Stegostoma tigrinum: one gene and its partner. The protein of the gene in region 1 purifies or fractionates together with the protein of each later gene. This does not show direct contact. Links are inferred from orthologs where the notes say so. Each region holds a gene or a part of one and is shown on either strand. Other genes may lie near its edges.

Region 1 (11,171 bases):
ATGCAAACTAAAACATACAGTTCTACCATCTGAGAATGTTGCTCTAGATAAACACACAACCTTAGTGGGCACGTTTAACAATCACAAGATACACAAAAACCAGAAGGTGGGCACACTTGTGCATTGTACAAGGCAACAGATACAATAACAATTAAAGTGTAGTATACATCAGTGATTAGAAATGGTCCTGTCCAATGGGTGTCTGAAACAGTCACTTTTGTGACGTGTTTTTGGGCGGGGGGGGGGTGAAGTGAAGAAATAGACACAAAGAAAATACACTTCTCTAGCTAGCAGGCGATTACTACTTCAAAAGGGTGTTCCCTGACCTCTATACGTGTTGCTTAGTAACCAACCATTCCCGATGAGAAGCATTATCTGTACTGGATGTTTTACCCAGGGTGGAGAGATTCCATGTATCGCAGCAAGGTCACTTTGGTCGACAAAAAGTTAATGAAGAAAAACGTGGGAGCTTTGGATTCATGAATCAACAGTTCTGACTAATTGTGGATCATCCTGATCTGGTTTGCATCTGTTGAGTATACTGAAGGACTCAGTTTGACATTAAACTTGTTACGGGAGACAACCGAGAGCTGCTATAAATTGCAGGTACTGTGACATCGTACAAGTGTTCTGACCCCAGCAGACGTCACTTTTTATTTCACCTAGCATATAAATGAATACAACTGCAGTTTTTAATCTAAACTGCAAAGTCAGAGAGTATATTTTATCTGATTCCAAGAGATCAAGGAGGAAATTTTGGCATCACATGCCCCGCCCAGAACAACTGATTTATTATTCAACCCAAATGCGTTACTCTCAGATTAGCCTGTGCAAAAATTATAAGTCTTCTGGGAAGTGAGAGATTGCCAATCAGAAAGGGAGTAAGGAAGATAGTGAATACAGAACTGTTTCGTCTCCATCAGCCACCCACCTTCCAATGTTGACTAGATAATTGTCAGAGTCAGAAATCCAAAGGTCCATCTGCTTGACATCCATCATTGGATTGTAAGAGATGCCACTGCAGAAGAGCAACAGGACCTCATCTTGCATTGTTAACAAGGAGAAGCACTGCAAAGCTGACTTAGGCTCATGCTACAGCCTTACATCTAGAGAACTTGGAGGAGGAGGAAGAGGAGGAGGAGAAAGTAGCCCATATTTAAGTCAATGATATAGGTAGGAGAAGGAATGAGATTTTTAGGATGTCTGAGTAGCTTGGATAAAATTAAAATGCGAACCTCAATAGGATGAATTGCTACGTGAACAGCTTGCACATTGGAGAAGATTCAAGCAAGATTTGAGGTTTAAATGAATTGCTAAAACAGTGCTGTGGAAAATGAGTGTTTCAATTCAGGGGAACTGACACCAGTACCTGAATAGAAAGAGTTATAGCATTGGAGTGGACTTCACATATAGCAGCCCATAAGCCTGTGTCCTGGCAAATCATGTAATGAGAAGATCAAATAGGGTGGTAAGCTCAAGCCCTAGTTCAGGTAGTTATATAAAAACTTATCAGTGCAGACATGTTATTTAGGTTAAAAAAAAACACACTGGCAAGAGTATTTTAATAAGACATTACTGATTAAAGTCACCTCAGGGAAAAATATTAAACAGTTAAAACTAAAAGGTACTATGTCAAAATACATGACGTATTTCCAGGGAGAAGTAAGGGATATGAAGACAGAGTGGGAAAGTAGAAAAGCTGCAGAAGTTTTGACGAGATCATATTGAACAGTGCAACAAGTTTGACGGTCAACCCTCATCTCTTACGTTCTGACAGTACATAAAGGTAAAAACACAACAATGTCTACATATGTTGTTTTAAAAACTCGCGTTTGAATTTTTGTAAATGTTATAAGGTTAATAGACCAGGGTTATCTCAAGGTTATTCTCTACAAGGATTTTACAAAAGGTACAATTTATGCCAGATCAGTTTACAAGACAAATTCATACCACAATATTGTTCCACATTAACTATGGCTCAGTTGATAGTACTGTCAGCTGAGTTAAAATCCCACTCCAAGGCTAAAGGGTAACAGTCTCCAGTGATGATTTAGAGCAGTACACTGTCCGAGATACCAACTTTCAGAAGAGACACAAAACCGAGGTCCCATTTGTCTCAGATAACAAGGAGTGGAGCTGGATGAACACAACAGGCCTAGCAGCATCAGCGGTGCAGGAAGGCTGACGTTTCACGCCTAGACCCTTCCTCTTTTTCTGAAGAGGGGTCTAAGTGCGAAACATCAGCCTAGCTACTCGGCCTGCTGTGTTCTTCCAGCTCCACACCTTGTTATCCCAGATTCTCCAGCATCTGCAGTTTGTACTAGCTCTGAAACAATTTTAACCCCATTTGTCTCCTTGTGTGAACGTTAAAAAAACCCATGATACTATTTTGAAGAATACCAGGGGACTTACTACTAATATCATAACCAAAATGTGGCCTTCAATCAACATCACAAAAACAGGTCTGATCGCTATTAGTTTATTGCTTGTGGGAGTCTGCCGTAAATACCTGCCACATTTCCACACTTCAAAAACAAGTTCATTGACTCAAAGTACTTTGATACACCTGGTTTCATGAAAAATGCTAAACACATACAAGTGCTTTTTTCCCCTGTGCATGATTTGCTAGATCAGGAACTGAATTCCAAGCAATGGCTGTTGATCAGTTTTGAGACAGGTTATCACTAGTACTACCCTGGGGTCAGTGCTAACTTCCTGACTGTTTGGCGTACATATTAACAAGATAGTGAGATTGAGAGAACACTCAATAGTTTGGCAGGTGTAACGGTAAAGACTGTAGCGGAGGCCAATATTCTACAAAAAAAGTATGCAGTCAGAAAATTAGTAAAGCAATAACAAATAGCATTTAAGCTATTTACAACTGCATATTACATAAAAGGTAGGACGAACACATGAATACATATCATATACACTAAACAATACTGCAAGTAATTTAACTAAAAAGATTGAAGTATTATCGTACACATAACTGAAGATTCAAAATCAATGCTGAACAGCTTGACTGACAGCAGGCAGGATATTGGGAAGTATGAACAGAATTATTCGGCACTCAACTATAGGAAATAATCATCAGTCAGACAATAAATAGATGACTGTGTCCCATTTTGGTGAATAACACAATTGCCTTGGAAGACAATTAGAAGAGTGCTCTGTCAATTGTTGCTAGCTTAAAGAACCCAAAGTTACTCAGGCAATCATAGAGTTCTGTTTATTCATTTTGTCACAGCACAAACTTAGGAGGCCTGACAGCGTGAAGAAAACAACAAAGTTTAAAATGATGTGCTTGTTGATTACTTAAGTTTGTAAAACCAGGGGAATTAACATTTAAATTCCTGTACTTACATTTTCTGAATAGACCAAATATAATGCAATTGTTCTTTCCTCTAAGACGTAGCAAGCTTTCAGAATGGGTACCAGGAAGTGCAAAATATACTGACTCTCTGAATGGTGTTGAGGAGCTAGGTAGATGGCCTGGGCAGAGATCACAGGGTAAAGGGGCATTAACACCATCTCATGGGGCTGGTAGCAGCATTAAATCCTTCTCAGGCAACAGGCAACAGCATTAATACCCTCTCAGGAATCTTGCAGGATCATCACCTCACCCCCACCCCAGAACACTGGCAGGACCACTGACTCCCCCCTCAGGGGGTCAGTAGGGAAATTAACATCCCCCCTTCTCCTCAGGGACAACAGCAACCTCAGGGGACTAGGAGAGGCAATAACAATCACTCAAGGTACTGGCAGGGACATGAACAGCTCTCAAGATTTTGGCAGGGGCATAATACCCTTCAGGGGCAATAACCACCCTCAAGAACTGGCAGAAGCACTAATATACAAATCAGGGGACTAGCAAGGCAACTAGCAAACCCCCCTTCCCTTCAAGGGGCAGTCGGGGACGGTCCCAGACCTTTTCACCCCGGGACTCCCCCTTGGCTCTGGCGACTCCATCGGGTGGAGTATGGGGGCGGGGATGGTGTGATGGGGCAGTGCCCTGGGCCCGGCCTGCTGAGTGGCCCAGGACTCCCAGTCCTCGGGGAGGATGGCTGGTGGTGAGGGATGGTCACAACGAAGGCAGATGGGAGTCCTGAGGGCGGTGACGGCCTCCAGCTCCACTCTCTCTCCCGCCCTCTCGCCTGTTTACCTGTAATGGCTGTGAACTGCCGGATTAACCCCTGCAACGCCGACCCGGCCGACCCCGCTCCATCACCAACCGCCGCCATCTTACCGCGCAGCGCCCACGCAGGCGCACTCGGCCCAACCTTCTCTCCCCTCAGTCCCTCTCTTCTCCCACACGGGGACGTGACGTCATCCCTCCAACCACATTGGCCGGCTGCCCCATCTCCACGCCTGCGCACTCGGCACGCGTGCCAAATTGGAGGGACATCTTTGATCAAGGCAACACGATGCTTTCTGTGTCTCTTTCCATTGACTGGAGAGCTCGCTCATTGTTTGCAAATCAGCAGCGACTGCCGCAATCGTGATGGCAATCTTTCCGCGTCACCCCAACACCAATACGAGAAATTCCCATTGGACTTCGGACAGTTCAGGGCGCTTTATTTGTAATTTGTTACCTTCGAAGTTTTGGAACTCGACCTAGAGGTCAGAATATTCTGGCCCAACCGCTTGTATTGAACCCTATATACCCATTGTAAACACAGCCTAGATATTTTGAAGCAATGATGTTTGGATTTTTTTTAAAAATGCTAACTGCTAACGAGTTTGCGAAGGATTCTGACGGCAGGGCATCGTCATACAAAAGTTGAACGCTGGGGACATTGACAATAAGTAACAAAACTAACTGAATCAAAAACAAAAAGTGCTGAAAACACTCAGCAGGTCTGGTAGCATCTATGAAGAGAGAAACAAAAATTAACACTTCGAGTCGATTACGATTTTTTCGGAACTAGAACACAACTCTATTTTGTCTGTTATATACATTTCTGTTACTGTTGCCAACATCCTCATTCTGCTTTTGAAGCATATTTATTTTAATCCGCTCTCACTAGACAGCCTTTTAAGTAGCCTTTTCTAGGCGATTATCAGGAAAGTACTGGAAGCACTTATGTCACATAATATTATACGATTTTAAGATGCAGACATAACGATTGTATAGAAATGTACAATTACATTTGTTTGCAGCTGTGAATTTGGATGTTACTGAAGTCCACAGCAACACTTAAAAATAGGAACTTGCTTTCTTTGCAAAGCTGATTTAATGCACCTTAAGACAGTGCATGATTACAATATGAATAAGTGCAATTTGCACAAGATTTAAGATACGCTGTTTTGTTTATCCTTGATTTATTTCTTTTCAACCAAGTTATCCATAGTAGTACAATTTGTCATCTTAAACAATTAAAAATATATTGCTGTCATGAAGTTGTGTAGAAAATTCATGAATTGAAAGGCAGGAAGTTAGAATGTGTAAAAATAAGAGTGGGGAAAAGCAGTGCACGTTCCCTTTAAAATATTGTGCTTTGTCTGTACTTGGAAGGTTGCAAGTACTGTGCAGAGAGCCCCAAACTGAAACAAGTATATGAAAAACACCTTACAAATCAGGCGAAACAGGAGTCTTATTTTGGCAACAGGTTGAACTCAGCCATCGAAAGCCAATTAAATTTAAAATGATCATTTTGACAACTGTAAACCGATCACATTGTAAGAAATTGATGTGTCAGTCAGGGTATATAAGAAGGGGATTTTTGAAAATCAGTAAGAGCCAACTACTATCTAAGAAATAAACCGAGCTCTCACACAAAATCATTAAGTTCTCTTAAAAAAGAAGCATCAAAAGTACCACAGCACTCTCAGAAGTTACAAAGAAAACATCCCTGACAGGAAGATCAGCAGAAGGAAGGCTGTAGAGAGGATGGAGAAGACAGAGCATTTCAAAAGACAATGTGAACTTTGAGAGACTAAGTTTCAATTTATTGTTTTCTTATTATTTGGATTTACGTAAGAGCTGCTTGTGTTTATTGGAACAGCATAAGATTAGAATCTTGTATTAGGAAATAGTCATCACAGGGGAATTGTTCAGTTAGGGTTAAATAATTAAACTGTTTCTTGTTGCTGATAAAGTGAGCATTAGTGATTCCTTTCATTTACCTACTCGTTTAACAGATTGAGGGGCAAGATGAACTTCTCTGGTTGTTTAATTAGTAGATGGGAACCTCTATTCCCATTGTAACAGTTTGGGGCTGGTGTTTCAAATTATTTAGCTGAGGAGTTTGACCTTCCCCTTCTCCATAACACTGCATGCTAAGTGTACTAGCTGTTACACACACATCATTTTTGAGTGATAAGAGTCCTCCCTGCTCTGAGACAAATTCCTCATTAGACACAGGACTTTGGATGTGTGTTAATCAAATCCATCCTATTTAAGACTCAAAGATTCTGCATCATGTTTAAAACAATCCAAATTTAAAATAATTAATCTGAATTGAGACTTCACTACCATTGAAGAGAAGTGAAGACCAATGTTGCTGCCTTCTCAGTTGGTCCCAAGGTACAACTACCACTATTGAACCAGAGATCTTTCCACCTTCTAATCAACATTTTTGAGATCGCCTGAAAGTAAGCTTGTGATAAGTGTCAAGTAGCCTAACTCACTGTTCCAGAGAACATGAAAAAGACTGGGCAATTCTTTCAGTAACCCACAGGACAATCCAAACTATACATTCATTCAACTGTTGAAGACACATAAAAGGGATACAGGTGGGAAAATTTATTCTATTTTTCTTTAAAATTGTAATATTTGAGGATCATTTTAATTATAAGACCCAAGTCAATTATGATTACAGACCAAGTTGAGAGAACTAACCTAAAAGTTGACTCGTCCCATTTACGTTCAAGATCCATTCCATGTACGTTTTTCCATATTTGATAGAATTTAAATTTAATTAAACAGGTACAGAAGAAATAATATTCAATAAAAAGTGGTTTTCATTGATGCACGGAGATACTGGCTCATGGTTGACTGAAGTTGTTCTTCCATTTCTTTGTTGTGCACCAAGTTATTTAGAATCATTCAGCTTCCCAACAGACAGCGACCGTGCATTTAATCTCAGGTTGGTTAAACATGGTGCGCCCAATTTCTAGTTGGTCACCTTACTGATCTCACTTCCTGCTGTCTTCCAATTTGTTCCTTTGAATGTTAACCACATTCCTTGCCCCTCATATCTTAGCAACTTCATAGATCGCCACCAAAACAATGTGGCACCAGTAGAGCAATTTGTATATCCCTTTAAAGTGTCCTCTTTGACATACAATATTCCAATGTCCCAACTGCTACATACTATGCATTCTGGAACATTCCAAAGCCTAACAACTTCCAAAAACCTACACGCTAAAGGAATCATATGAATATACAATAATACAATAACTGAAACTACTTTCAAAAGATCATACTTTTTTTAGTTCTCCAAGAGGTGCTGCATACTTCAAGTTATAAAACTAAACCATCAACACATAGCTGTGTTCTTGACCAAAAGCTTTTTACTTCGTAACATTTTCACATTGATTAGCCTAAGTTTATGATTTGACCCATAAGAATAACCTTAAATCCATGATTTGGTTTAAATTTGCATCCCACAGCTACTTTCCCTTAAAAGAAATACCTTCATAACTATAATTAAATTGTATTCTGTTTATTTCCTCAGTTGCTTGATCAGGTCAAATTTAGTTATTGAAAAATAATTAAATCCTACAAGGTGCAGCATTTCAGTAACCACAGATTGCCTGCTTTGTAATCCAATGATAACAGACACCAAGGCTCATATGTGAACCTGGAATTCCTAAGAGAGGTTATATTGAACTCGGAGCATCAACTGTTTTTCTTTTCACAGATGCCGCCAAGCCTGTTGGGTTTCTCTCAAAACTTCACTTTTGTTCAGTGTCTTCAATTTCTAGGAGTACACAAAAGTTTTAATGCTCTTATCAGCAATACAATGGATATCTGCTTTTAATATATAGTGCTGAGCCTTTGCAGAGTAACTCGTATAACTCGAGCACTTTTTCAACTTCAACTGTTACACTTTCTACTGGAAGTTGTTTCACATTGCAATTAACTTCTTTCATCTACTAACTATACTAAAAGTTTATTCATGGTTAAGATGCAAAATGTGTCAATGCCTCTGCTCTAAGTTTGATCCACAAGACAAAGCTGACCCCCCAAAATAATACATCATCTCATATCAGACAAAATAAAATCTCAGTTTGCAGGCAATGTTTCATTCAAAAGTCCTAAGGAAATCAAAGATGGAATTTCTAAGTATCGAAAAAGAATTAACTAGGCTTGTTTATGTGTTTTAAAATGGTTGTGATCCAGTTAAAACAATCAGGTAGGCATTTTGTACTTTAACTGGAACAATTTGCTGCATTGAAAGATGACATTCAAATAGAAATTTTCACGTTAACCTTATTGCATACCTCTAATGGTTCTTTCCATGCTCATTACAGAACTTGCTAAGGCCAGAGGATTCACTGACTCATTTATTAAACTTAGCTCCAAGTTCATTAATTTAATGCATTTTTGTCATTAAGAACACTAGCCATTGTTTAATTATAACTGAAATAGGCCACAAGTCTCCATTGCATCCTAGCCAATTAACTTCTACCGTTGATCTGGTTCTGCTTCATTGATGTTACAGAGACTGTTCAAGTTATAAAGGAGATGCTGGATAGGCTGGGAGTTTTATTCCCCATGAAGCATAGGAAGCAGAGGTGTGACCATATGAAGGTTATAAAACCATGAGGGGCACAGATAGGGTGAATAGACAAGGTCTTTTCTCTAGTTTAGCTAAGTCCAAAACTTGAGGAATAGGTTTAAACAGCGACAGGGGTAGGATTTAAAAGGAAGCGGACGGGGAACATTTTCCAGAGTTTAGTGCACATATAGAACGAGCTGCCAAATTAAGTGATAGAGAGTACAATTACAATTTAAAAACATTTGTACAGGTATATGGATAGGAAAGATTTGAGGGATGTGGACGCCACAGACACAGACACACACACACGAGACAAGTTCAGATTAGGGAACCTGCTTGGCATGGACACGTGGGCCAAAGGGTCCTTTTCCACATTGTCTGACTATGACCATTTTACCACTCAACGGTCAAACTGCTGCTGTGTAATCCATTTACTCAACTCATTGTTTCATAGCCTAAGGACAGCGATGAGTGAAGCAGAAAAACACTGAGTCTCAGTGAATTCAATGTCTATTATTTCCAAGACCATACAAAATAAAGTTAACAGCCATAAACAGAAATTGCCAAAACTGTTTTCTCACCACTGACACAGCCAGACCTACTAAGTTTCTCCATCAATTTCTGCGTTTCATTCAGATCTCCAGTTATTTGTTCTATTTTAAACCTAAATGGCAAACATTTAGGGGTCCCAAAAAATCAAGAGAGCAACAGATTCCTACATTTCAGCTCAGAAAGAAGTAACCTGTAAAAGGTGATCACAGAGCTATACGAAACAGCAAATTAAAAAGGCAAAGGTATACCTAGAATGTTTAAACTGTGGAAGACAGACAAAAGTAACATGTTCAACCTAGGAAAAGGTAGCTTTTTCAAACACCTGGGAGGTTCTTCCTTATGCAGGGTGATTAATTTATGGAATGGACTCAGTGGAGTTGAAACATCTTAGATACTCTGAAAACAATTGGATATCAACAGGCTGCTGTTGGACTTTTGCTACATACATAAACAAATAAGCAAAATTAATTTCCTCTAGCGGTCCCCAGCCAATTTCCATGTGATATCAGGCAACTGTTGCAGATACTAGACACTAAAAAAGATTAAGGGCTCTGACAATATTTCAACAATAGTACTTAAGATAGCATTCCAAAACTTGCCACTTGCCAAGCCAAATTGTTCCAATCACAACGCTGGCATCTACCAACAATGTGAACAATTGCCCAAGAAGGTCCTGTACATAAAAAGTGCGGCAAATCCAACCTGGCCTATTACTTCCCCATCAGACTTCTTTCAATCATCAAAGCAATGGAAGGTGTCATCAACAATCCTATCAAGCAGCAACTGCTCAGTGACACCCAGTTTGGGTTCCACAGGGCCACTCCGCTTCTGACCTCATTACAGCCTTGGTTCAAACATGGACAAAAGAGCTGTGGTCCAAAGGTGTGGTAAAAGTGACTGCCCCGACATCAAAGCTGCATTCAACCGAGTGTGGCAAAGAGCCCTGCTAACACTGAAATCAATGGGAATCTGGGGGTAAGCTGCCCAGTGGTTAGAGTCATACCTGGCACATAGGAAAATGATTGCGGTTGTTGAGGGTCAGTCATCTCTGCAAGAGTTCCTCAGGGTGGCATCCTGGGTCTAACCATTTTTAGCTGCTTCAATCTCATTCCCTCCATTAAAGTCAGAAGTGGGGATGCTGGCCGATGGTTGCACAACGGTCAGTACCATTCACAACTCTTTGGATACTGAAGCAGTCCATGTCCAAATGCAACAAGATTGAGATAATATCCGGGCTTGGGTTGAAAAGTGGCAAGTAGCATTCATGCCACAAAAATGCCAGGCAATGACCATCTCCAACAACTGACCAATCTAGCCAGTGGCCCTTAACATTCAAAGGGGTTACCATCTGAAACCTCCACTGTCACCAGCATATGGGTTATCATTGAACAGAATCTCAACTGGACTCGCCATATAAACACAGTAGCTATAACAGCAGGTCAGGGGCCAGGAATACTGCAACAAGTAACACCTCCTGATTCCCCAGAGCCTGTCTGCCAGGTACAAGGCTCAAGTCAAGAGTGTAACAGAATATTTCTCACTTGCCCGCAACAACACAAGAAGCTTCACACCATCCACGTCAAAGCAGCCCACTTGATTGGCACTACATCCACAAGCATCCATTCCCTCCACCACTGACACTCGTAGCTGCAGTGCAAAACGCACTGCAGAAATTCAAAGATCCTCAGACAGTACCTTCCAAATCCACAACCACTTCCATCCTTAAGGATAAGGCCAGCAGATATACGTGAACACCATTTTCAAGTTTCCCTCCAAGCCACTCACCATCCTGACTTGGAAGTACATTATTTATTCACTGTCGCTGGGTCAAAATTCCAGAATTTCCTTCCTAATGGCATTGCGGGTCAACCGACAGCAGGTGAACTGCAGCAG
Region 2 (10,448 bases), on another chromosome or scaffold:
TTCCAGCCTCTCATGATAACTCAGGCCCTCCATTCCCAGCAACAAGTCTGATAAATCTCTTCCTAACTTTCTAGCTTAAATGATATCCTTCCTACAAGAGGGCGACCAGAAATGAATGCAGTACTCCAGAAGGGGCCTTGTCCTGTACAACCTCAACATGCCGTCCCAACTCCTATACTCAAAGGTCTGAGCAATGAAGGCACACATGCTAAACACTTTCTTAACTACCCTGTTTACATGGGATTCAAACTTCAAAGAATTAGGTACATGAACCCCTAGGTGTCTCTGTTCTACTACTACCCAAGGCCTTCTTTTAAATGGTCAGGCAAAGAGCCAGGCTTTAAAAGCACATCTTAAAAGGAGGAAAGAAAGGTAGACGGGAATTCCAGAACTTAGGGACTTGGCAAGTGAAGGCTCAGTCACTAATAACAGCGATATGAACTGAAAAATGCACAAGAGGCCAGAAGTAGATGAGTGAAGTTACGTCAGAAGGTACTGTGAAGATTACAAAGGTAGAAAGCAGTGAGCTAAATGTGGGGTTTGAAAACAAGACCAAAAACTTAAAATGAAGATGATGCATTATCAGGGCCCATCAAGCACAGTGGTGATAGGTGGACAGGTTTGGTTTGAATAAAGATTCAGGCAGCAGCATTTTGGATAAACTTGACCAGACAGGAGTGGATTATGGAAGACAGATAACAAGGGAACCAGCGAACAGATTAGTCTTTGTGATGGGGTAAATATGTTGAAAGCCCACCTCAAAAATCAAATATTTTGACAATCATTTCCGTTTGTGATCAGTATCAGAGCACTGCCAGAGAGAAAGAGCAAAAAAATAGAGTTGAAAGCTAGGGGATGAATTTTGAAACAGCGATCAAAGCAATGGCTTAAGTTTTTCCACTATTTCATCTGAAGACATTCCTGCTCATCCTACACTGGATGTTGAATACACAGTCTGACATTTAGCAATAGTAGAGGAGCCGACAGGTGTAGTAGTAAGGTAAAGATGGGTGTCATCAGCTTACATGTGAAAACTAATGCTAAGCCTTAATTAATAAATAAGAGGGGAGAAGGATAGATTTTTTAGGAGACACCAGAGGTTACGGCTTGCAGCAGAAAGTGAATCATAGAACAATCCCAGACATCTAGATGTCAGTGAAGAGTCCTTAGAGGAGGAGGAGGAGGAGTTGTTTATCCTTGTCAGGTTGAGAGAGACACAGGCATATGAGACTTTGGCACAAGATTTTAGAACTGTGAAAAGGGCAGAAATGTAATTGAAGAGATTTTAAAAATAACTGAGAAAAATGGGGACAGATTTGGGAACGTACAAGTTCAATGGCTGTGAAAAGCAAAGAAAGGTCTGAGATGGACAGTAAGTCTAGACATAAGCAAGTTTTTTTTGGAGGAGAGTTGGTGACAGATTTAAGGGAGAGAACATGAAAGAGTGAAGGGAGAGAGAGGGTGCGTTAATAATGCTGGTTTCGTGGTGATCCAGATGGAAGGTTGGGTGGTCAATGGTTTAGTGGGAACAGTGTTGAGAGAGCAAGAAGTAGCCTGCTTTGACAGGATGAGTTTGGAGAAGAAACAAAGGCTGTTTGGACAGAAATTAGCATAAGACAGTGTTCAGGGCTAGAGTGGGGGGAATATTCCTGGATTTGTGGCTTTGGGCCAATGGAACAAAGGCATGTAGCTGAGGCAGCAGATCAGAAATAGATGGGACTTGACTGTAGGAACAAAGAATATTAGCTCTTCACACAAGCTTGTTGGACACAAGAATGAAGACAACAGGAGAGTGTGGTTTGAGACTACAGTTTGGAGTCAAAAAAGCAGCTGGGGATTAGCTTTACATTAGAAAACGATTCCCTCCTGAAACCAACGCCTAAGATCTGATTTTAAAAAAAAAAATAAACTGCACATGCTTTCCACAGAAACGAAAACAGAAATTGCTGGAAAGGCTCAGCAAGTCTGGCAGCATTTGTGGAGAGAAAGCAGAGTTAACATTTTGGGTCCAGTGACCCGAGTTCTGAGGAAGAGTCACTTGACCTGAAACGTCAACTCTGATTTCCCTCCACAGATGCTGCCAGACTTGCTGAGCTTTTCCAGAAATTCCTGGGGTTTTTTTCCTAAGCTCTGAATCAAGATGCCTGTAAGACAGCAGTGAAAAAATTTAGTTGGAAATAAGTTTCTTCTGAATTCCATTTTGGATATATTAGTGACTATCTTAAAGCTCCTAGTTTTGAGCTTCCACCAGAACATTATCTCTTATGTATCCTATCAGAATTCATAATTTGATATGCCATTATTGGGTCATCTTTGGCTTCACTCGTTTCCAATCTGTTCAGTCTTTCTTGTAACCTCAGTTCTGGTTTTATCTTTTTAAATCTTTAATGCACCTTTTCCAGCACCTCTGCATTTCTAACATACAGACTACAACTATCCACTGTAATCTTGGGTACTGATTGAAGAGATATAGGAGAAAATTCTCAATTATTCTTAAACCAGTAATCTGGGATTCTTTGTACATAGCACATAGAACATTACAGCACAGTACAGGCCCTTCGGCCCTCGATGTTATGCCAACCTGTCATACCTATCTGAAGCCCCTCTAACCTACACTATTCCATGTACGTCCATATGCTTATCCAATGATGACTTAAATGTACCTAAAGTAGTTGTCTCCTTGTAGTTCCCAGAAAATGCTAATGGGGCATAAAATTAATATTTCATCTCAACAGTGTAGCTGCCTCTCAAAAGTGCACTGAAATATCAGAATAAATTACACGTTCAGGTCTTTGAAGATCTGGGTTCACGCCACTCAGAGGTATAGCGCTCCCACTGAACGACACTGCACTTATCTCACAAACCAGTCTTCCGCAGAAACTTCCCTTTAATTCTGGTACCACTCCATATCATCTCAATTTGTGGTTCTCTTGAATCTCTTTTCAAATAGACATTTAGAAATATATTTCATATCAATACCTAGCACTTGCATCATAAGTAAGATTCATCAACAGGACAATAGAATATCAAACCTCTTTCACCTCTATAACTCACTATTCAGCCTGCTCATTCATGAAGCAAATTCATTTTCCAGTAGATTACCAACAAACATGTTCGATCACACCCATCGCACCACTTTCCCATCCACTTACTTTTGCCTCCTTTCTCTACATCCGATCGATCGCTGCCTGCAAACATAGAGACTGAGTAGCATCGGTACTGTGTTGAGAAACGATTCCGAAAGGCATGTGGAATTGCCTGATCAAACATATTGAAGGCAAACTGCAACAAAAGAGAGAGAGAGAGAAAATGAGGAAATGTCACAAAGAAAAACATCAAAATGTATCACATCAAAATGCAGAAAGAATATATTTAATATCTCTCCTAGGGTTTACTGAAGGAGGTCAAAGAATAAGCTGGAAGGTTTCATTTACCCTTGCCCTCCTTTCTTGTCTGAATACTCCAGGTTCTTCATCAGGGCCCTAATGTGTCACAGAGGAATTCTAGATATTAGACTGACTAATCATTGGAAATAAAAATTAATTCAGCAAAACTACTAAATTTCATTTATATAGTGGCTCTCACAATCACCTGTAAAGATATATGGGATTACAGTGGATAAATGCAATTAGAGCCATTGCCTTATATGCATGGTATGCATTGAAGTGTGTTGCTCGAATCAAATGAGCTTTTCACACATTTTACATTTCTATTTAAAAAACACAACTGCTCTAATTTTCAAAACATGGCATTGGCATCTAATGGTGAAAAGACTGCCTTCAGTATAAACCAACAAAAAATATTAGCAAAAAAAACTAAAATTTGTTGACAGATTCACAAAAAATCTAAACAAATTAACAGTACCCAAACACTATTTGTAAACTTAAAATTACTACAATCTGTTAGATGTTACTTTCCAGCGAAACAATTTCCCTGCAAGATTATCACAACTGTGGTTCAGCATTACAGTGATCTTATACTATTTTGAAAAGGTATTCAATGATGGACTCATCACTTATTACTCAATTTCCCCAAGTCAACATCTTAGCCAAGACTATCCCAGTATGTGGCTGGTGAAGAAGGGCTTTCGAGCTGAATTTTACACAGCTTCGGCTGGAATTGTCAAGCTCTATCAAATAATAAAACAAAACAGTCCATTAAAAGCAGCGACCATCTTTCAGGATTCGGGTTATTAAACATCAAAATTAGGAAATGTGTTATAACATCATATTTCCTATCCGTAACTATTGACAATTATTTATGTTGGTTGAGCACAGAACCTGCGCTAGCTCCCGGTTACCCCCATCTCAACCCCAAACACTAAATACACAGGAGAGGGGCTGTGGGGTATGACTGAGGCCAGAATCCATGCCCGTGATTGTGTCTCGTCTCCACATCCCGAACTGACAGTACCTCCCATGCACACTCCAAATAACTTACCATCTTTGACTTTATTCTGGGTGCGACGCTGTATTGAGTTGTCAATCGGGTTCGCTCTTTATCAAATTAACAACTTGCTGATCAGCGCAGACTGCAGACTCACTGACCGCACATCGCCATATCCGCCGGAAGCCGCTCCGCCGACCAGCAATGGGGCAAAGGACAGGGCTCCTATTGGTCAGAATCAACAATACGCCAACCTCATCGAAGCAGCCAATAGCGCTGTCCAGTATCGGACCAATCAGCGCCCGGACTTGGCAGCATTCTTGAGCTAACGGACCAATCAATGCGGGCATGAACAAAGCTCCGCCTAGTTATTTGCCTATGGTTGGGTGTTTCGGGACAGCTCTGTCCATTTACACACCGTATTGGTGCAACTGGTGAAGGGGTGGGAGAATAGGCCTTAGCAACCAGGCTCAACATACCTGGATCCGGAGATAATAAAATGTGAGGCTGGATGAACACAGCAGGCCAAGCAGCATCTCAGGAGCACAAAAGCTGACGTTTCGGGCCTAGACCCTTCATCAGAGAGGGGGATGGAGGGAGGGAACTGGAATAAATAGGGAGAGAGGGGGAGGCGTACCGAAGATGGAGAGTAAAGAAGATAGGTGGAGAGGGTGTAGGTGGGGAGGTAGGGAGGGGGATAGGTCAGTCCACCTACTAACCTCATCCCACCTCCTTGACCTGTCCGTCTTCCCTGGACTAACCTATCCCCTCCCTACCTCCCCACCTACACCCTCTCCACCTATCTTCTTTACTCTCCATCTTCGGTACGCCTCCCCCTCTCTCCCTATTTATTCCAGTTCCCTCCCTCCATCCCCCTCTCTGATGAAGGGTCTAGGCCCGAAACGTCAGCTTTTGTGCTCCTGAGATGCTGCTTGGCCTGCTGTGTTCATCCAGCCTCACATTTTATTATCTTGGAATCTCCAGCATCTGCAGTTCCCATTATCTCTGATACCTGGATCCGGAACAAGGCTGCTGGAAAAGCTCAGCAGGTCTGGCAGCATCTGTGAAGGTAAAAGCAGAGTTAACCCTTGCACAGGGTTATCGGACCCGAAACGTTAACTCTGTTTTTTTCCCTTCACAGATGCTGCCAGACCTGCTGAGTTTTTCTAGCAACAACTAGCTTTTATTCCTGATTTACAGCATTCGCAGTTAGTTTTTACACCTGGATCAGGAGCTTGCAGAGCACAGAGCAGCTTATAGAGTCATACAGCAAGGAAGCAGACTCTTCAGCCCAACTCATCCATGCTGATCAGCTTTCCTCAATTAATCAAGTACCACTTGCCAGCAATTGGCTCATATCCCTGCAAACCTTTTCCATTCTTATATCCATCCAGAGGCCTTTTAAATGTTGCGATTGTACCAGCCTCCACCACTTCCTCTGGCAGCTCATCCCATGCACGCATCACCCTCTGCATGAAAAGTTTTCCCTCAGGTCCATTTTATATATTTTCCCTCTCACCTTAAACCTATGCCCTCTTGTTTTGGACTCCCCTACCCCTCATGATTTTATAAACCCTCAACCTCCACGCCCCAGGGAAAACAGGCCTAGCCTGTTCAGGCTCTCACTATAACTCAAACACACCAACCCAGGCTCATCCATGTAAATCTTTTCTGCAACCTTTCAATTTTAACATGCTTCCTAAAGCAGGGAAATTGGGATTGAATGCAAAAGTCATTTTGTTTGCAATTATATAAATGCCAATCTTTCGCTTAATGGTGAAAAGTGGAACGTTTTGAAAAATGTCATATGTTAATGATGTTTAAAACTTATTAATGTTGAGAAAATAACATAATTCAACAAGATCTGGACAATATCCAGGCCCAGGCTGAAAAGTAGCAAGTGATGTTCATGCCACACAAATGCTGGATAGGATTATTTTCAATAAGAGACAATTTGCCCAACATCCTTTGACATTCAATGCTTTTACCATCAGTAAATCCTCCATTATGAACATTTTGGGAGTTACCATTGACCCACAACTCAATTGGACTCACCACTTAAATTCAGTGGGTACGAGTACAGGTCAGGCGCTTGAAATACTATGGTGAGTAACTCACTGCCCAATTTCACCAAGCTGGTACATCATCTGCAAAGCACAAGTCAAGAATGTGATGGAATACTCCAAACTTGCCTGAATGGATGCAGCTCCAACAACACCCAAGAAACTTGACAGTTTCCAGGACAAAACAGATCGCTCCCTCCACCACCAAAACTCAATAGCAGCAGAGCGTTCGATCCACAAGAAATTCTCCAATGATCCTTCCAAACCCACAACCATTTCCATCTAGAAGGGCAAGGGTAACAGACACATGGGAACACCAAATTTCTGCAAATTCACTCCAAGCCTTCCATTCTGACTCAGAAACATATGGCCATTCTTTCGGGGGCACTGGGTAAAAATCCAGGGATTCTCTCCCTTGTAACATTGTGAGTCTACTTGCAAAACATGGACTACAGCAGTTCAAGAAGGAAGATCACCACCATCTCCTCAAGGGTAACTAAGGCAATAGTAACACTTACATCTCATGATTGAATATCAAACAAGTTAAAATCAAGGCAAATTGATAATATATTAATACAATCTATACCTATGTGTTAAATACAACGCTGCCAATTTTTATTGCATGCTAGCTAGTATATCATTAACCTGATTGCTCATGAAGAAAGGCATGATTTTATAATCCTTCCTGCCACACAAATAAGGATGAGTTCAGTTTCCAATCGTAGGCCCATTGTGGTACAATACACACAAAATGACTTGGCAACAGATTTCCAACAGCAATTGTTTTCTGTATGACTGCACAATTATTCTCTGATACTGCAACTGAACTCTTCCAACTTAGAATAAAGATATGGAATGTAACATGGAACACCAGTGATTGTGTCAATTTACTCTCCAGCCAATTTACAGATTTTGAACTCCTTAATAATTATTTTTGTAAACAACTGTAAATTAAATTTTTATAAGAACATATGGACTCAGCTTCAGCCCAAATCTGTGGCAGAGAATTTCAAGTGCTGCGAAAGGAGTTTTTCTAACTGGCCAATGCCTTTTAAGTTTTGTACTCTCTTTTACCATGTCACTGAGCAATGAAAACAAACCTACACAATCTTAAATACCTCAATAAAAATCACTTATTAGAAACACTCCAGTTGTCTTGGCAGGATATTAAATATCTTTGAGATGTCACCATGCTGGATTTTTGATACAGTACATCTGTATGAGACTCTGAAGGCAGTTGATGACTAGGACAAAAAATTCCAACACTGAAGGCTTGGATGGCTTTAATTGTTTTTGAACAATTGACTTTTCAGCCATGGTTCAGTCAGAAGTCTTTTTTAAAGTCCTGCTCAAGAGACTTGAGCACGTGATCAAGGCAGATAGTTTGGTGCACTACTGAGGGAATATGGTGTTGTTGGATGTACTGTCTTTCACCTAAGACATCAAGGCTCCTTTTCCATCTCAAGTGGATATAAGAGATCCTAAGACAATGTTTGAAGATGAATGGGAAGTTCAACTACTGGATAATATCTATTTGTTAACAGATTATCTGTTTTTCTCACTGTTGATTGTGAAGCCATGGCTTGTGCCAATTAACTGCTGCACTCCCCTCAACTACAACAATTGTTAAACATTTTACGTAAGTGTATCATATTGTAGAGTTTGCTGTAAAAAGTAAGATTTTCTTTTCAGATCATCTGGTCAGATATGTTATTATGTAATTCCAAAAGCAGGCAGGACTTGAAACGAGGGGCTGTCAGTCTAGAAATAGAGGCAATACCAGTGTGCCACAAGAGGCCTTAAATATTATTTTTCTAAAATAAGAATCCTAAGGTTCTGTGATTCAAGCCATGAAATCTGCCTGAATTACTTAATCAATTGAAGCAACTTCTAAATAGTTGATTAGTTAGGTAAGACTTATCCCGTTTCAAGTAAATGTCTCCTTTGAAATTACACCAACAAAGGACAAGGGGGAGGAGGGTGTTGTTTTATTCAAAGTTATTTTAAACACATTAAAAAACAAATTAAGAGTCAAATTTGGATAAATCAAACCAAAATGATAAAGAAAAGCACCCAACTTGTTGATGTTATATTCAGCTGCTCAAGAACCTTGGTCATAAATTTGGTAATTAACTAGAAGCAGACTGTCTGGGATTCCTGTGCACCTTGATCTTGAGTATTCAGTCTCCAATTTACATTATTTTTCTCCTGTCCTTGACGAACCATGCTCAGCAGAGTACAAAATATGAATATTTAACAATTTAAATAAAAATAAAATACTGAAGATGCCAGAAATCTGAAATGAAAACAGAAGTGCTGGAGAATCTCAGCTAATCTGGCAACATCCAGGAAAGGGCAAACAGATTTAATGCTTCAAGTCCAATTTGACCCCGTGTAAAAGGGCCTGTTTATTTGAGATGTGATCCTGTTGGTTGTTATCTGGGTAGGCAGTATAGCTGGCATTGATAAGAGGATGAAATTCCCATGAATCTTTGTCTGGATAGGAAGTACAGCTGAAGGCAAGCCAATGGAAAGGCTGTGTACTAATATGGGGAGACACATTTTGGTTCTCTTTTCACATTCTTGCTAGTACTGGAGGCTGAAAAAGAGGGAAAAAAGAACGCAAGACATACTAACTCCTTCACCCAGACACAAATTAGTTTTAAGAAAAGCATAAATTGCTGCGGGTGGAGAGAAAACAGACAACATTGAGTCCAGTGGTCCTTCAGGGAACTTCAAAGATGCTGCCAGACCTGTTGAGTTTCTTCAGCAATTACTGCATTTGTCTCAGATTTCTCGTGTCCACGGTCCTTTATTTTATCACAGCTGCAGTACTGCTTGTCCTAATACCATATCTTTTGTCACTTTACTCTCTCTTGTCTTCCATTATGTCATGTACCTTTGTGTTTATTTCTTCTCCTTTTTTCTGTCTTATTTACAAAACTAATACAACTCTAATACTGCACTACCAGTCTAATGAGAGATCATCTATGACTTTGAACATAGGTACAAGAGTAGGCCATTCAATCCCTCAAGCCTGTTCCACAATTCAATGGCTAATCTGTATGGCCTACCTCCACAAACGTGCCTATGGTCCATATCCCTTAATCCTGTGCCTTAACAAAAATTTAACTAGAGATTACACAGTGTGGAGCCGGAGGAACACAGCAAGCCAGGCAGCATCAGAGGAGCAGGAAAGTTGACATTTTGGTTCAGGATCTTTCTTCAGAAATGGGGGAGGGGGAAGGAAGCTCAGAAATAAATAAAGAGATGGGGTGGGGCTGGGAAAGGTAGGTGGGATGGTGACAGGTGAGTGCAGATAGGGAGTGGTGGGAGGAGTGGATCGGTGAGAGGGAAGATGGACAGGTTGTGTCTGGTCAAGGAGGTGGGGATGAGAGGGAGGGTTGGTAATGGATGAGGCCAGGGTTGGGAGATTTTGAAACTGGTAAAGTCCACATTTAGGTCATTGGGCTGTAGGTTCCCAAGGTGGAATATGAGGTGTTGCTCATATCCAGGTGGCGTCATTGTGATACTGGAGGAGGCCCAGGATGGACATGTGACCCAGGGAGTGGGAGGGGGAATTGAAATGGTTCACGACCAGAAGGTGTTGTTGTTTGTTACGAACAGAGCGCAGATGATCTACAAAGCAGTCTCTGAGCCTCTGCTTGGTCTCACTAATGTAGAAGAGGCCACATCAGGAGCAGTGGATACAATAGACCACATTAACGGATGTGCATGTGAACCTCTGTCAGATGTGAAAGGTTTGTTTGGTGCCTTGAATGAAAGTTGGCGGGGGGGGCGGAGGTGTAGCACTTACTGCAGTTGCAGGGAAAGGTGCCGGGGTGGTGGGACTAATGGGGAGTGTGGAGCAGATGAGGGAGTCATGGAGAGAGCGGTCTGGACAAAAGGCAGGTAGGGATGGGGAGGGAAATATATCTTTGTTTGTGGGGTCGGATTGTAGGTGCTCCTCCCACCTCACTGACCAATCCCCAACACTAC

The links.
Region 2: the proteins of ubxn7 (region 1) and ufd1l purify together in Homo sapiens (affinity purification with mass spectrometry; 3 studies listed by BioGRID and IntAct, with this or other methods). This does not show direct contact. The link is inferred for Stegostoma tigrinum from reciprocal best matches to the Homo sapiens genes UBXN7 and UFD1.

What each region holds. Positions count from the first base shown.
Region 1 is NC_081367.1:6,714,377-6,725,547, reverse strand, and holds the start of ubxn7 (UBX domain-containing protein 7), read right to left. Parts: upstream 4,283-11,171; 5' UTR 4,242-4,282; coding exon 4,163-4,241; intron 1-4,162. UniProt on the Homo sapiens protein: Ubiquitin-binding adapter that links a subset of NEDD8-associated cullin ring ligases (CRLs) to the segregase VCP/p97, to regulate turnover of their ubiquitination substrates.
Region 2 is NC_081379.1:43,302,582-43,313,029, reverse strand, and holds the start of ufd1l (ubiquitin recognition factor in ER-associated degradation protein 1), read right to left. Parts: upstream 4,588-10,448; 5' UTR 4,444-4,587; coding exon 4,441-4,443; intron 3,283-4,440; coding exon 3,153-3,282; intron 1-3,152. UniProt on the Homo sapiens protein: Essential component of the ubiquitin-dependent proteolytic pathway which degrades ubiquitin fusion proteins.